Drosophila melanogaster: one gene and its partner. The protein of the gene in region 1 interacts with the protein of each later gene in a pairwise test. Each region holds a gene or a part of one and is shown on either strand. Other genes may lie near its edges.

The links. The genes of interacting proteins can lie anywhere in the genome.
Region 2: the proteins of Uro (region 1) and Cpr56F interact in a two-hybrid assay, tested with the Drosophila melanogaster proteins (one large-scale study listed by BioGRID).

What each region holds. Positions count from the first base shown.
Region 1 is NT_033779.5:7,774,569-7,781,915, forward strand, and holds Uro (urate oxidase), read left to right. Parts: upstream 1-5,516; 5' UTR 5,517-5,549; coding exon 5,550-6,123; intron 6,124-6,192; coding exon 6,193-6,677; 3' UTR 6,678-6,847; downstream 6,848-7,347. Other genes in the region: CG7179 (uncharacterized protein), read right to left, coding at 1,327-3,417; CG7164 (uncharacterized protein), read left to right, coding at 7,067-7,283, 7,344-7,347. UniProt on the Drosophila melanogaster protein: Catalyzes the oxidation of uric acid to 5-hydroxyisourate, which is further processed to form (S)-allantoin.
Region 2 is NT_033778.4:20,286,381-20,296,310, reverse strand, and holds Cpr56F (cuticular protein 56F), read left to right. Parts: upstream 1-4,365; 5' UTR 4,366-4,477; coding exon 4,478-4,483; intron 4,484-5,760; exon of another isoform or gene 5,761-5,878; coding exon of another isoform or gene 5,879-5,987; intron 5,988-6,081; coding exon of another isoform or gene 6,082-6,632; exon of another isoform or gene 6,633-6,766; intron 6,767-6,799; coding exon 6,800-7,447; 3' UTR 7,448-7,940; downstream 7,941-9,930. Other genes in the region: CkIIbeta2 (casein kinase II beta2 subunit), read right to left, coding at 5,879-5,987, 6,082-6,632; CG34199 (uncharacterized protein), read right to left, coding at 8,049-8,615, 8,673-8,684; CG16868 (uncharacterized protein), read left to right, coding at 9,577-9,843, 9,906-9,930.

The DNA.
Region 1 (7,347 bases):
ACTTAACCCGTCTAAAAGAGCTAAACGAGCTGAACTAAAAATACTTCGTTATCTCACTAGGGCTAGAGACCCTTGTAAGCCTCCCCTAATTCCAATTGTAGACAATTAAAACTTTTATAACTCTCAATGTCTTGTATATACTAACGAAATAAACAAAGTTATAGTAGCTCGCTCCCTTTTGTTAATTTCATTGTGGTCGTCGCGTGTGCTAATCCAAACAATTCCAAAACGTTGCCATATCACTCTAAAGTCTCGTAACGTCTTCTCGGTCCATTACACTATTATTATAATGAGATAAATGGATCCACAATCCCCAACGCTAAATCAGTGTGTATATACGAGAATATTGAAAATGTGTGTATTAATATATAAATGTGTACGTGTTAACTACTTACTAACTGAAACTATCTTTAATGTAAAGTCGAGAAGTATATATATATATTTCAAATAAACTTATGAAATACTATTATTCGTATGCAATTAAATGGTGATAAGGCGTTTTCAATTGACGTTAAGGGTTCGATTAAGCATTTCCTAGCATATCATCATGTATCATTGATACTATACTCTTAAAATAATAATAAAAACTCGAAATTTTAAGAGTTAATCTACTTTTCTACTACATTTTGAAATGTTTATGTACAATTGGAGGATGGAACTATTTCTTTGGTGTAATTAGTGCTAGTAAATTGAACAGATCTTCAATAGTTTCTCACTTCCACAACAACTCCGACTCATTGTTTAAACCAAATAAGTACCGCGATTGTAAATGGAACCAACTAACACATCTGCGGAAGTGCGAAAGTGCCACCCTGACATTGAGATTGAATGGGGCCGAGATTCTCGGCCAACTATTGCTCAGTGTTTGCTGAGAAAACAATGTGGCGACATGGTTATCTATTTGGAAAGCATCTGTATCTGTGGATGACAACGGCGTGGGGATTGCGATACGGAGTGGATAGAGGTAAGGGTGGAGCTGCTGGAGCTCGTGCCTTAGCGCAGTAATGACCAACGAGCGTGTAAGCCTCCAGTGGGATGACTAAGCGTAGTGAAAAGACGCATTCCTTATCACATTTTCTTTATACATTCACTATGACGTTAACAAAATTGGTGAAATACGGATGCCGCGGGTTAGGATCGCAGATTAATGCTGAGTAAATTTGGAGTCATTGTCATGAAACGAAAAAATATTATATTAAATACATTCCTTACCAAAAATACATAAAATAGCATTTAGAATTCCCTAGTATTTTTATTAGCTCTTCAATCTTTTACATAATTAAAACATTTGTAGCTATAGTTAGTTGCCCAGCTTGTAATATACCTTCAGCCAAAAATGTTTGGGAACCAACTTCTTAGCGGCGAAAAGCACAAGGGTTTAGTTAACCAGAGAGTGTCGACTGAAAGTTTAAGTACCTCCATGTAATCAAAGGAGCAACTGCTTTGCTCAAAGGCCTTCGTAACCAGAGGTGACTCTGGCTTAACTATGGATTGGGACGAAGACTGTGGCTGAGTTGTGACGCCCAGGTGAGCCTTATCCTCATCCTCATCGTCCACAGCAGAACGGGCAAAGGCCTCGTCGCCGTCGAAGTAATAGAACTCCTTGCGAGTGGAGTTAGTTTCCACCACTCTCGATGGCTGTTGAGCATCGATGCCCCGGGCATAGGATATCCTTCTCGCCGTTCGGTAGGGAGTGGCCGAAAAGGGTAGGGGATATCCACTGATATAGCCAGGATAACCAGGTTGTAGCGGCCACATTTGTGCGGTTTGCGGGGGTAATCCCAACTGAGGTTGCAAGCCCAACTGAGGTTGCAAGCCCAACTGAGGCTGTAACCCCTGTGGCCACAAACCCAATCCCCTTTGAGGTTGCTGCGGTTGCAAGCCCAAACCAAATCCTTGGCCAGCATCTTGACGACAGCCATCGGAGTCCTGATCCTGGAATATCTCCAGCAGAAAGCCATTGGACGTGGTGCTGCTCGATTGTCCAATGCGCATGCGCAGCGCCTTGCGACCCTGATCCCAATGCGATTTGTGGACATAGCCGGAACGACAGCCGCAATAGCGCTGACCATCCAGCTCCAGAAAGTCACCATTGCAATTATGTTGGCCTCCAAAACCGCCACTATGTCCGCCGCCCAATCCACCGGACACTCCACCACCGAATCCGTCACCAAAGCTGCCTCCAATTGAACCTCCTGAATTCTGACCGAAATCAAAGAACTTGAACTGAATCCGCAGTCGACAGACATTTGGTGAGCTCTTCTCGATGTAAAATACGCAATCCCTCTGCTGATTGGGTAGCAGATAGTTCAAGACTGTCCTTGGAAATCCGGGACTGGAGAGATAGAAGTGATTCTGATTGAAGCTGCTGGCACAGCAGAGATCCAACTGACCACCAAACTGCTGCAAGGTCTGGGCATCGTAATCCTTGAGAGTAACAGCATGTGGCTGAAAGGATGTGGTCTGATATTGATCGGAAATCAGGGGCAACTCTTGCTGCAGTTGCTGCTGCTGCTGGGAAAGTTGAAGTTGCTGTGGATGTTGAACTTGTACTTGTTGTTGCAGCTGCTGCTGCTGCAGGACCTGCTGTTGCAGTCGCTGTTGCTGCAGGATCTGCAGTTGTAATTGCTGTTGCTGCAGGAATCGGTGCTGCTCCTGCTGCTGCTGCAACAGTTGCTGCTGCTGGGGAGCACATGGCGGTGTGTACTGGGGTGGTAATCCCGCAGGCGGTGGGTATAATCCACCGGGATAACCAAGACCTGGTTGTAAGCCCAAATTAAACCCCAACCGATTTGGTTGCGTATAGTTGAAAGCTGGCTCCAGTTGCGGCTGATGGCTTTGCTGTGGCAGGTGATGATGGTGATGCTGGGTGAGCAGCTTCTTCGGAGGCGACTTGGCGCTCACCTGCACCGTGTCGCCATCTACGTCCTCCTCGTCATCGTCCAGACCCCTGGCCACCAAGTCCTCCCTTTCGCAGGCCAAACGCGTGATGAGCAAACGGAAGCCACCGTTGGTTGTCCAAGGCGAATCATCGCTAAGGAAGCGCAGACGCAGGACTCCATCGGGGGTGTGATACTTTTTGATACCCAGCACCTGACCGCACAAGACCTCCATGTCGTCGCCATCGTTGTTCAGGCCAATGGCCAAGTAATCCCGACTGCAGTTCTCCGATAGCTCCAGCTTGAAGTCCAAGAACTGTATGTGAAACTTGGTGGGGCAGCGGTAGGGAGATCGCACCACATAATCCCAGCAGGTGTTCACCGGATAGTTGTCCGGATAGTTGGGCGATTCGACGAGACTCTGTCGCTGCCTGTAAACACCATGTAAGCCGCACTGGGGCAGCTCATCGTGCACAGCTCCCTGGGCTTCAAATGGAATGACACTCAGTACCAAGAGAAGGACTATTGGCAGCTCCATGTCGTTGTTCGTCCGCTGGTAACGCGCTCAAAGACGCAACTAACTCGTTGCGGTTCACGAGACATCGATGTTTGCCTGCCAAAAAATAATATTTTACATGGGTGCGTCGCAGGTTTCACTGGAAAACAATTTGCACTTTTGTTTGTGGAGTCGACAACAAAAGCATTCACTTGTCTAAGACTCTCTCATTCATAACTCGCACTTTAGTTCACTGAACCGCACGCAAAACTTTGGGGCGGACAACATGTTTTCGAGGTGCCAAAAGCTTCATAAAACTACCAATCCATTAGATTAAATTCCAGGCGGTACATCTTTTGGGGATGATTCATGTGGCAGGGGTTCTCTACTCGTTTACAATCATATCATCATCTTCAAGATCATATAGTTTATCATATCAGTAGAGTACTACAATATAATGCATAAACTAAGCCAAATAACTTTATGACGCGTGCTTATGCGAAAGTAAACTTTATTATCAAATTTACTTAACCGTGAAATCAAAACCTTTATATAAACACGAATATTATTATCTTTGCTAAATAAAACTCTCGCTTAACAAACAATGACACTTCAATTCCAACATAGAGTTTATCTTAAGCCAATAACCAAAAACGGAACTTACATAACTTGCCAACAAACATATGAATATAGCTATTTCGGATCGTGGGAGACCATTATGCATACAAGGCACGCTCCTAAAAACCGTGTTAAACAAATATATGTCAAATGTATATCTTAAAAAAGCGCGCACATATCTTTTGAAATATCTTCACCCAGAGTATGTATGAGATTAAACTGGATTAGCACTAAGCCACAGCTTCTGTAGATAGAAATTTTATGCAGAGAGTAGATTATTTGGCTGCTGAGCAATTTGACCACCACAAGATAGCAGAGAACATCTGACATTTTCTATATCCATATAATAAAACTGACTTAACACTAAGCTGAAGTGGTATGTTTAAATCCTCCAGCTAATAAATCGAGACTAAACGCCCTATCTTATAGTGATATATAATAGTATCTATATGTGTATTGTCATTTACTGTTTATGAGTATTTGAAAAAACCATTCTATATTTTATAGGTTAGTTAATAAATATTTTGATATACATATGTAGATTGGCTCACACGTACTTATGACCCACTACATAATAAAATTGTTTTGTTTTTTAATAGAATAATGGTTTATAAAAAGTTTAGACTCACACGGAAATGATAAACTCTTTGCAAATACAGCTTTCATTTTATTACAAATTGCACTCTTTCAGATCTGCAGTTGCTATGCCAACCTTTTATTCCCTTTACTAAAAGGGTATACTAGGCTTACTGAACAGTATGTAACTGGTAAAGTAAAGCGTTTCCGATTCTATAAATTATATATCTAAACTTTTGATCAGTCGAATCCATCTGAACACATTCTGTCACATTAGATTATTCCAGAAACTCAACTTAAACATGTGTATTTTTTAAGACCATTATCAAGGATATTAAAAATGGTCTCCTAAAATTTAATAAACAAAAGTGTCACATCAAATTTAAGACGTAAATTAATATTTTTTTTCTATGGTGAAATAATTGTTATTTTCCAATGTTGTGAAATAATAAATGTATCTTTTCAACGCACACATTTTCAAGGTTTTAATAATAATAGTGACTCGTGCGTGAATAAGAGAGAAATTAAGATTTTAAAAAAGAATAAAATTCAGAGATGTGATCTGTAAAAATTATTTACCAATTTTCATTTACCCCCGAAAGTGATGCTAATGGTTAAAACGGCATTTGCGACTTATCTCCTACGTAATATTGCAAAAATAAGGATTTGGTTAGATGAGTGTGAAGTAAACAAGATGCAAAGTTTTGGAGATAGAAAACATAGCCTTGAGTCTTGGTCATGTTTACTTGGCACCAGGCCGCGATTATCAGCGCTACTAGTCGTAATTTGAGTTAGACCTTTAATACTCTAAGTGAGAGTGATGATATACGATTTCCCAGCCACTTGCTTTCTACGAAATGCGCTAAAAAAAATCCCTAACTACACAAAGATTTGTGTTGTTATCCAGGTGTTCTGATATAAAAGGCGGCAAGGAAATTGATGGCATCATCAGTATCAAAGTGAGAGTGATTGCAGTCACAATGTTTGCCACGCCCCTCAGACAGCCAGCTGCGGCTAACCACCAGACCCCAAAGAATTCCGCCGGCATGGATGAGCATGGTAAGCCGTATCAGTACGAGATTACCGATCACGGATACGGCAAGGATGCGGTCAAGGTGCTGCATGTCAGCCGCAACGGACCCGTGCACGCCATCCAGGAATTCGAGGTGGGCACTCACCTGAAGTTGTACAGCAAAAAGGATTACTACCAGGGCAACAACTCGGACATCGTGGCCACCGATTCGCAGAAGAACACCGTCTATTTGCTGGCGAAAAAGCATGGCATTGAAAGTCCCGAGAAGTTTGCTCTGCTCCTGGCCAGGCACTTTATTAACAAATACTCGCACGTGGAGGAGGCGCACGTTCATGTGGAGGCGTATCCCTGGCAGCGAGTTTGCCAGGAGGAGACCAGGACCAACGTCAATGGGAAGTGCGAGAACGGAGTCCAAGGGAACTGCGACTTCAGCTCCATTGACAACAGATCACTGCACAATCACGCTTTTATATTCACGCCCACCGCTCTTCACTACTGCGATGTGGTTATAAGGAGAACAGGTTAAGTCAAACATAACTAAAGCAATAATATTTAAAACTACTAAATTATCACCTCCTTTACTGTTTTAGATCCCAAACAAACGGTCATCACGGGCATCAAGGGTCTCCGGGTGCTGAAGACGACCCAATCCTCGTTCGTGAACTTCGTGAACGATGAGTTCAGATCTCTGCCAGATCAGTATGATCGCATCTTTAGCACCGTGGTGGATTGCTCCTGGGAGTACTCCGATACCGAGAACTTGGACTTCCTCAGGGCCTGGCAAACGGTCAAAAACATAATCATTCGTAACTTTGCTGGCGATCCGCAGGTGGGCGTGTCCTCGCCCTCCGTTCAGCACACCCTGTATCTGAGTGAAAGACAGGTCCTGGATGTCCTGCCGCAGGTGTCGGTCATTTCGATGACCATGCCAAACAAGCACTACTTCAACTTCGATACGAAGCCCTTCCAGAAGATTGCACCCGGCGACAACAATGAAGTTTTCATCCCAGTGGACAAGCCACATGGCACCATCTATGCCCAATTGGCCCGGAAGAACATCAATAGTCACCTGTAGATCGATCTCTGATGTAGTAAATCTAAATCAATCTAAATCAATTTAGCCAATTCATAATTGCATGCGGCGAAGTTATATATGTATTTTAAATTATTTAAGCAAACGAATCATATGCTGCGTTCTTCTTATTTAAACAATAATAAACTAATAAAAAATAAAGTGTAAAAATGAATAAATCGATTGCAAAACCATATTTCGAGATCACCCTTGCCTTGGCTGAATAAATCCAAATTATATCAGAACTATTTTCTAAAATCCTAAAATGAGGCATCGTTCATAAAAAAAAATATATAAAATAAATTCCACAATTTTCGACCACTTTGGCAGTCAAAATTCGCAATCTAAATTCGAAATTAGCAAATAACCATTTAGCCACAAACAGCGTGACCATGACCAATCGACTGGCCTTGCACCACATCCTGACCACCCAGCTGCGAAGGGACTGGGAACAGGAGGAGAGCGCCAAGACCAGGCTGTCGCAGCTGTCCAGGAGGGACAGGATCAAGGCCTCGCTAAGATCGAGTCAGTTGCCAGGACGTTACCTGTTGCCCGACACCAGAAAGACCTACGACAATATGGTGGCCAATATTCACTCGACCATGAAGTGTAAGCTGTTGTGCTAAAAACTAACCAGAAACTTTCAAAACCAATCAATCATTTACTTAGCGGT
Region 2 (9,930 bases), on another chromosome or scaffold:
TACTCAGATGTAGATGGTGTAGAGATACACATAGTTGGCCCAACCTTATCTTTGCGGATCTCACAGAGTTCGCTGGGAAGGCGGAAGTTGGATCAAAGTGCTTATCGATATGGCAACGTGCGAGAATAGCAAGCATGTTTGCCCATTGTGTATTAAAAGGTGTGCTGATTCACTTTTGGAATCCGAATCCGAGAGCACATGCTCATCATCGAGGTGCTGATGTGCCGATGTGCTGATGTGGATGTGGGTAGGCCCGCAGAAAGTGCCAATCAAATGGCCCGTGCCCCCATCCCCGACGAACAGCAAACAGAAACAGGTTGACCCCCACGCAAGAGGATGTAGTCGGAGCTCAAGTTCTTACAAGTGGCGTCGAGTTGATCCACACGTAGCTCCACACTTGGCCAGCGGATTAGCCGCGAACTCCGGCACATTATCGCTGTGCAATCTGCGGCATTCCATGGCCAGAGACAATGGACCATTCATCCGATGACCTGTGGGGCAAACCTCAAACGTGGCACGCATTCATCGAGGGTTCTTCAATTGATTTCGGCCATCTAATGTGGCTCAAACCAAATCCGGAATTGTGTAACAATGACTAAAGTGCGCTGCACGCCAGTCCCAAACAAAAGGCAAATTTTTCGGTAGCTGCAACACCATCATTATTGTTGCCTTGACTGGCAGTGGGAACCATCTTTATGACCGCTGGGGCCGTAAATAAATCACAGGACCCATGCTCCCATCGCCCACAAAATGCAATGTTTAGTCACAAGCTTTTATTTGCTTTGGTTACGTGTGCGTACACATGAAAATATATAAAAAACCGACATAAAATCATGACGTTCATTTGTAAAATTTATTGACTATAATTATAAATGAATTCAGTGTTTCATTCTGAGGAAGACACCAATTTCGTTGGCTCATAATGTTTAAAAGTTATCCAGTTAAATTACAGAATCAAAAGCCATGTTCTTTGTCTAAACTTTACGTATTTACTTTTTGAGAACATCGATTTTTTTTTCGGAGTGTATAGGCCGACATCAATCATTATTCCCCTGCCTGCGCCCGAATTTAGCCGCATATGAATGCCCGTGCCACAGCTCGCAGACCAGCTCCTTCTGCCCCACCGTTCTGTTTCAAGTTTAATTGCTTCGCATACGTTTTAATTATGCCGAGTAGTAGTGAGATCCAAAAGCCCAGAGCTGCGAGAGTTGGGCTCCACTGAATGGTGCTGCACTAGCAGCAACTAATTTGGCAATTTGGCCAACTGCACAAGGCGACCTGTGTGTTAGTGTAATTACTTTATGGAGTATGGAGTGCACTGTGAATGCGTCTTTTATGACAGCCATTGAGTTGCAGAGCGATCGAGATCGGGTCCATCGCTCAAATGCCATAGGTGAGTGGAGCCACGGAGGATGAGCGCCAAAGATTCCCAGGTGCGACCTTCGCGTGCCTTCGCCTCTTGACGGAATGTTATCAATAACTGACGACATGATTTTCGAAGTTGTTAATTAAGACGTTAAACGAAAATAGGTGTTTAAACGACAATATTATAGATTTATTTCATGGCCTTTTTTAAGCAGATTTGCTTTCTCAATTTATTAAATAAAAGGTAAGCTTTCTTTATAAATAGGTTCTCGGAAGAATCTGTTGTTGAGACCCCCAATTTCCTTATAGTCATCCGTATCATAATTCATCCACACCCAGCTTACTCACATCCACTTCAGTTCACTTTAGAGCGGTTCCAAAATGTCAAAGTTTGGCAATTTTGTGTGTGAGTCAATCGACTTTTACTCCGGATTCTGGCAAAAGGCAGCGACCTTCGCGTCGGGCGAAAAATGCAGTCGGTGTGCGAAGAAGTCGGAGCCACGGAGATCTCGAATCCAAAATCGCTCTCGAAATATCATCATCTAGAGTGGCACGGCATATTCAAAGTGAGGCGCAATTTACATCAAAAGACGCCTTAATTGATTCTGTCCGTCTTGGGGGGGCATTGCATCAGAAATTATCGTAGTTTAATTTAAATTACACGTTCGCGGCGCTCCACTCGTCAGCATTCTAGGTTACAAAGCAAACATAGATTCGGATCTGCAGATACAGATACGGATACATGTATGTATTTCAAGGTCCGCCCCTCTCGAAGCTCTAGAGCAGCCATCAGAAATTACAAATCGTCATTGTCTTCGACTTGGCGCATCATCACCTGGCTGGGTGCCATTAGCTTCCTCTCCATCTCGATCTCCATCTCCATGTACAACTCCAAGTCCAAAACTCCGTCTAGATGGCCTCTCTGTCTGGCACGTTCAATGTAAATTAGCCGATGCAGGAAATTAAATGATTTTTTAATGTGCTGGAAAAATGATTACAAACGTAAAAAAAAAAACAAGCAGAAGACTGAAGCTGAAAACTGAAAACCGAAAACAGATTTGAAGTCGTTCATGGAGTGCTATTGAAAATGAATTTCAGTTTTGGTTTCCGAGACAAGGAATGCGGCATACGAAGGTTTATTTATTTAATTGTTTTGCTTACATTTCAAGATTCATATTAGCCATTATGAAGTCAAGTCTTAACTGCTCTGCTATAATTTCTGTTTGTTTATTTGAATTTTTCGCATTCGCATATTTGCACACATAACTCCAAATGATCTTGGTAATTACAAAAGCTTGGCTGTATATTCTCTAATTTATTTTTATTGTGGTCTGTGGCAAGGTCGAGTATTACTTGCAGAAAATCACTTGGGGGAATACGCAGCGAGGAAGCAATTCCATCCCACCCCATCCCTTCAATCCCTTCAATACCTCATTAATTTCCAGCTCATTTGGGGCGTGGCTTCGCACGGCCTTTAAATTTACAACTCATAAACTTGGCATTATCGAATGTGAAAGTCAGCTCGTGCCAAATCGCAAAATAAGCAGGGTCCGTTATAACAAAATGATAAAAATTTTAATTTGCTACGCATTCGACCAATGAGCCAAAAGACAATTGACCAAAGAAATATTTGCAGATCGTGATGGATGCTACGCCCACTGTTTAAATGAACATGGAATATGGCAATAAAAATATTGAATTACTTTTCCCTATTGTCAAGTATTGTGTTCGAGTATTTTTAAAGAGTTCAAGTTTCCTTTGTTATGCAATCGACTTTTTAATGGGATAAATAAGTATCCAAAACTATTGAGCATACACATTTCAATACGTTTTGCAGGAAATGGACAAATAGAAAAAAAAATTATGTTATTTTTTTTAAATATGTGTTTATTTTAAAACTTATTTCTCTCTACAAATTATTTGTTTATAAAGTAAATATATAAATAAATTGATCTCATTTAAATTGGAGCAATGTTTCACCCATAAATGAATGTTGAAGAGATCTTTAGGTAATTTTGATTCGCAAAGCAACTACAAGCCGTTACTAATGCTCAGTTTAATAACAATCAACATTTTCGACACCAGAGCGTATCTTTCCCAGCAAGGAAGATAACGTATCTTAAAACTCTTTTTCCCTCGCTGTGCTCACAGCTCAATTGCAGCTTATCCGACTTGAATCCATGTCAACGCCAATCCAAACGGACACATTTGTGAAGTCGGGGGCATAATCCAGCTCATTAGTTGTGCTGAAAAACAAAACCGAGCAAAACCCAGCGAAAACTCCCACGCACTAAGGGGAAACAATTTGCAGCAGCATTGCCTGCAGCAAGTTCGTTGCCTGAGTCTTTTGTTTCTGCTTCGCCTTTCGAGGCGGCCGCCGCTGAAGCTGCCGCACGACTGAAGCTGAAGCCTCCGATGCGAGATGAAGATGCGTGGAGCAGCTGCCTCCGCTCACTTGGCTTTTGGACGCTACCGTCGACGTCGCTGCCCGCTGCCTGCTGCATGACTAATTCCATTACAAATAAGTGTTTCTGCTATTACACGAGCGGCAACAAATGTTTATGGCCTGCAGCCGCAGGAGCGCGGTACTCCCTCGTCTCATTTGTTTGAATGTTTGGCACTCATCTTCGCTCATTTGCCGAACCCGACCGCAGATACGAAGTCAGCATCGTCAAAATGTTTGGCGCTTTAATTTCCAAAGTAACTAGTTTACTATAACAAATCCACCTCAAGCGATTTCCCTCTTTTCTCGGCAGCACCACCGAGAGCGATTTGCTCTTCCTCAGCTCCGTGTGCTTTGCATTATTTTGTAATGTTTTTCAAGTGCTCGTTCGGCACTGTGGCACTCATTTTTTTCTCGACTAACCGAAAATTGAAATAACGAACTAAGCTGAACAAAAAACACACACATTTTGGCGCGCAATTTTTTGAAGCCGACGTCGACGCCGCCGCGTTAGCTGCTGCTCATTTCAAATATAAATACTGGCCTACGAAATTGTTTCAGTATCACAATCAAGTCAACCATCTTCGCAAGAAGAACACAGCCAACAGAGCAAAGTTAACAAAAACCGTTTTCGTGTGTGCCAAAATCCCAAACAAGTGACAACACAAAATGAAGGTATATAGCCGAATAGAACTTTCGAGTCAAGTGCCAAGTGGTGTGCTGTGTGAAAAAAAAAAGTCCTCACAAAAGGATATGGGCAGCCAAAACGAAATACAATGCCTCATTCGGCATTCGGGAAACGATATGACTAAAGGATATAAAACTTGAATAGCTATAAAGATCATTCAATATAGGTCCTTTATTAGATACAGTTTCGACCTTTTGTTAAATTTTCAAAGGATATTGAAGTTTGCTGTAGCTAACATACAAACAACGTTGGGTTACAAAATCTTAGAATGATCAAATAAACATCACAATATTTGCCCATATCTTTTTCTGCATTGCAAAGGTGCTAAAATATGTTCGAATTTTGTATTCATTTTTCTGTATCCAATCAATAGCCCTCATTTAAAATCGTTTTTGGCAATAGATCGATCAATCAATTAAACAACTCATCAAACTAATGAAGCTTTCATTGTCTCACATAGCACTTAATCAGCTAATCGGAAGGAAAAGACATGAAATATTAATATTTGAGCCATATTAAAAGTCAAGTTCAGCTGGGTGATTAATCAAGCGGAGATCCGCATAATAAATTTCATAAGTTGCCATCATCATCGCAGTTAAGATTACCATCAATTTGTTTAGGATAGCTACTGTTTTTTATGGTAGGTTGCGGAATTAGAACACCGATATCATTCGCCTGGGAAACAATTGCAACCAGCGATCCCAGTTCATTTCTAGGGTGTGGGTAACAAACAGAAGCAACAACAGCTGCCGCTGCTTGGGGTCATTTTGCAATGAATAAATTAGAGAAACTTTAAGTGGCGGAAGAAGAACTACTGGACATGCCCAAGTAAGGCAGTCTGGAGATGACCAGGCGGCGATAAAAAAAAAATACAGACAAAAGCGCAGCCAAAAAGCATAGCATTTTAACGCCAATGAAGCATGAAAGTCATTGACGGCCCTGTGCCTAAACACTCGGCCAGAAGATCTTTTGCACAAGATTCGGAAATAAGTTGTGTAAGAGTGAGCCGAAGTGGTTCTCCCACAGGTTGTCCGCGCCACACGGCGAATACTTAAGATTCAGACGCATTGCGCAAGATCACGAGATTAGCCCTTCACTTGCAGCCCAGCTAAATCCAATCCAATCCGATGGGAGCTTCACCTGGGACCCAATTACTACAGATTTGCATATGCCTCAGCTAAATGCTGTAAAGATGGGAAAGACAAAGCCAATTCTGGGCCTGCTCGCAGGCCATCAAATCCAAACAAAAGATTGTCAAGCGGGTCACAGCCTGAGCAGTTATTGTTATGAGAGTTTAATGAGCTGGCAGCCAGCCGGGCGAACAGTGCCCACTTATTCGAGAAGTACGCGACAGTTGCTTATGAGAAATTTTAGCTTTAGGATCAAATGTGGGATGGGCTATCGATTTCTCCTACTGGCGTCATTGTCACATCTTTTTGGATCTCAGCGGCAGTACGGTAGGCCGTGGGGTGGATTTTAAAGCCATAAAGCCTGGGAAAACATAGTTACATTAGTTATACATTATTAGTAACTACCTTAAAAACATAGGGAAATAGAAGGAAACACAGGAAACGGAAGATCTAACCTGGGCACAAACTTCTGCTTTGCCCGCTTGGGCCTAGCATCCGGTTTCTCCATAAAGAACATATGAGGGAATCCAGTGCCAAAGAAGGCTCCATCCAGATTCGAATGTCTCGACGCCTTGGGAATGTACACATCATTGCACTTGGGGCAATAGATGCGTACCATATCCTCGCCAGGATTATCACTCAAACCAATGGGCAGCACCGGCTGGCTATGGCAGAATGCACGTGGACATGTGCCGAATTCGCCCTTGTTGTACTTGTCCAACATCAGTTCGATGCCCCTGTTGGTTAGGATAAAGCGAGCATGGATCAAGCCATACAGTTTCTCTGCACTAGCCTCCAGTTCTGGTTCAGCGGGGTCTTCCGAAGCTGAACCCGGATTAAGATCCAGGATCACCTCCAAGGCACATTTGTAGTTCTTAACGTTCGAATCAAGAAAGTTAAGGTTAAACTTGTCCTGGATATATTCCTCATCCACCTCGCAAAAGAATTCGTTGCCACGCTGCTTGCAAAACCAATGAATCCAGGAAGATTCGTCCGAATCGGTCATAGCTGCTTCTTTTAAGCTTTAATTTAATCAGTCAAAATCACGAGAGCTTAACAATAGGACTTATTTAATTTCGAATGACAGCTGTCAGGGACGGAGTGTTCAATCAAGGGTTGTCAACTCAAAACGAAAACTGTAATGTAAATGCAACCCTGAATTTTCATTCCCAGGCTTTTACATCCATTGCCCTGCTCGTGTGCCTGGCTGCCTGGACCCATGCGGAACCACCAGTTCCCCAGAACCAGTACCTGCCCCCCAATCAGTCGCCTCAGGCGCCGTCCAACAACTACCTGCCGCCCACGCAGGGCTACCAGTCGCCGTCGAGCAACTACTTGCCACCCCAGCGGGCCGGTGGCAATGGAGGAGCGCCCAGCAACAGCTATGGCGCCCCCATCGCTCCTCCCCAGGGTCAATATGGTGCTCCAGCGCTGACTGGTGCCATCTTCAAGGGCGGAAACGGAAACGGAAACGGCGGCTATGGCGGCGGTAATGGCAACGGCAACGGCTACGGACAACGGGATGAGGAGCAGTATGGACCGGCCAAGTACGAGTTCAAGTACGACGTACAGGACTACGAGTCGGGCAATGACTTCGGCCACATGGAGTCCCGCGATGGTGATCTTGCTGTGGGCCGCTACTACGTCCTGCTGCCCGATGGACGCAAACAGATTGTTGAGTACGAGGCCGACCAGAATGGATACCGCCCAACCATTCGGTACGAGCAGGTCGGCAATGGCAACGGAAACGGCAATGGCAATGGTCGCAACGGTGGCGGTTATGATAGCAACGCGCAGCAGGGCAAATTCAACGGCTACTAAGATGGGGAAGTGAGGATACCCGATTTAGGTCGACCCCGCAACTATACTCGTCTACTTCATGGGATCGCTGGCCGAGTATTAAACGCACATCCAGCCAGTGGGCCAGCGATCGCAGTCAGTCTATCCATATAACCCTATTCCCATCTCTGTGCATACCCTTAGTGGGACGCCCGCCATTTTGCCATAGACAGGCGCGTTCCTTTCCGTTTCCGTTTCACTGCTGTTCGTTATCCTGTTTTCCGTCTCTACACCTGGAACTCCTTGCCGTTTTGTTTTGTTTAAGCGCCTTCATTTTGTGTTAGTCTACGCACACACTCCAACACACCATTCACCCACAACATGACCATTACGCATTCATACATACATGCATAAGGATTGTATTTAGTTTTTAAACGAAAATGGAAATTCGAAAGTGAAACGAACTTATGAGATTTTTGTGTATATTTAATAATTATTAAATGAATAAAGAAGCATTTTTGTATAAAACAAAGTCAAAAAGAAAAACCAAACTGTTTTTATAATTAACAAGATAATTCATTCTGAGAATTGAATACATTGCACAACTCTATTTTACATATTCAAATAGCTATATCCAAATTGCCTACTTCAGGACCCGCTCCAGTTGTCCCTGTCTGTTGTATCGATACACAGGATCCTTGAGTTGCCCCACAGTGGAGTAAGTCAACTGAGCCGTAAAATCATCTGCATCTGCATCTGCGTTTTGCTGGGAGCTGAAAGAAACTCTTTGTAGTTTATTGTCCTGCGAAATGACGAAGTAACGTCCCTCTCTGATTTTGGGCTGCTGATTGTCTACGATATTTTTTGCAGTAACTGGCTCCTCATCATCAGGATAAATGATTTTAAATTTCGGATCTGCCGGACCGTACTTGTTGGACGGTCGTGAGGTGGGCAAAATCTCTTCCTCGGGTATATCCAGTTGATTTGGAGGCAAATAATTTGGCTGGGGCTTTTCCACTGGATCGAACTGGTCCACTCGTGCCTTTGTGATTTCTACTCCCTGACTTGATCGGATAGCAGGCACATACTCGTTGGGTAAGTTGAATGGAATCTGCGGATGCCAACCAGTTGGTGCATAAGGTGCTATACGTCCACCGGTAAAATCCACTTCAGCTTGTACAATGGCCACAAATGGCAGCAGTAGAAGCAACTTTAGGAATGCCAAAAAGATTTACGTAAAAATGTTTATTAAATAGCCACATCATACCTTTGTCACCATTTTAATGAACGGCTCGATTGAAACTGCGGTGCAATATTTGGGATTTGCTCATTTTTATATTAAACAATTGGAACCATTGCAATATTTATCATGCCGGACACGCACCTTGTTCGTCTGACACCAATTGGACTGCATCTGTTCCATCTTCGGACTACATAGTCACGTATCCAGCCGACAAAAATAAAAAAGAATCAAATGCACACAACCTTGACAACGGATGAGCGAATAATTGGCAAAGGCTCAACTTTGGTTTTGCTTTTAGATGCACATAAAAAGTGAAAGTGTTATAAGAGCATTAATTTGCAAAATAATTTATAGAAAATCTAACTAAGAATACATTTCAATGTAATTATTATTTATTTAAGTGCGTATGCATTTCAAGAATATTGAATAAATGCAACTTATAAAACGCTTAGCAATTTACAATTTTCGAAAATACGTTATTTCTAGGGTAACCACATTTTAACTGTAAAGTCGTATGCAGCCACACTGCTGTGTCGTGCATTTTTGTATCTTCCGCATGCTGCCCTATAATCTACGACATACGGTCACACTGCGCATGTGGAACTTTAAGAAAATCTGCAAAACATTGACAAAATTATTAAATTTAATAGCTTAATCGGACGAATAAGAGTGTATTTATGTTGATTAGTTGTTGTCTCTGAGCCAGTGGGCAATGTACACGTGCTTACTATGCCTAAAACCGAGGAATCAGCGAGATTTATGTGACGAAATTCCGTAAACAAATCAGCGTGCAGCTCGAGAAGAACCTGGTAATACAGAATTCCTTAAGAGGAAACCACTCAAGCTAACATTTCATTGTCTTCCAGATATGCGGTAAATTCAATAGTATGCCCCAGTGGCCACGGAGTCCGCCGGAACCACAAAAACCATGTGGCCCAACAGCAACCTAAACGCCGTGCTGCTCATCCTGGCAGTGCTGGCGTGCCCAACTAGCAGCCAACATGTTCCTCTGGCCATGGCCAATTCAACTAGCAACCAAGTGCCTACGGATCCTGGCTTCATGCCGCTGCAGCAGTCGCCGGGAAGCGTCTTTTTCGTGCACCACAACCAGCAGAATGCCATGCAGCTGCGACATAGCATGGAGGGCAAGCTGCGGAATATTCGTAATACGGAGCTGAGGGTGGCCAAGATACAGGTGGGCTATCAATACTGCACAAGCTATTAAACTCCATTTTAATGCCCACAATCCCCTTCCAGGAAATCTTTGACTCCATGCACTTCA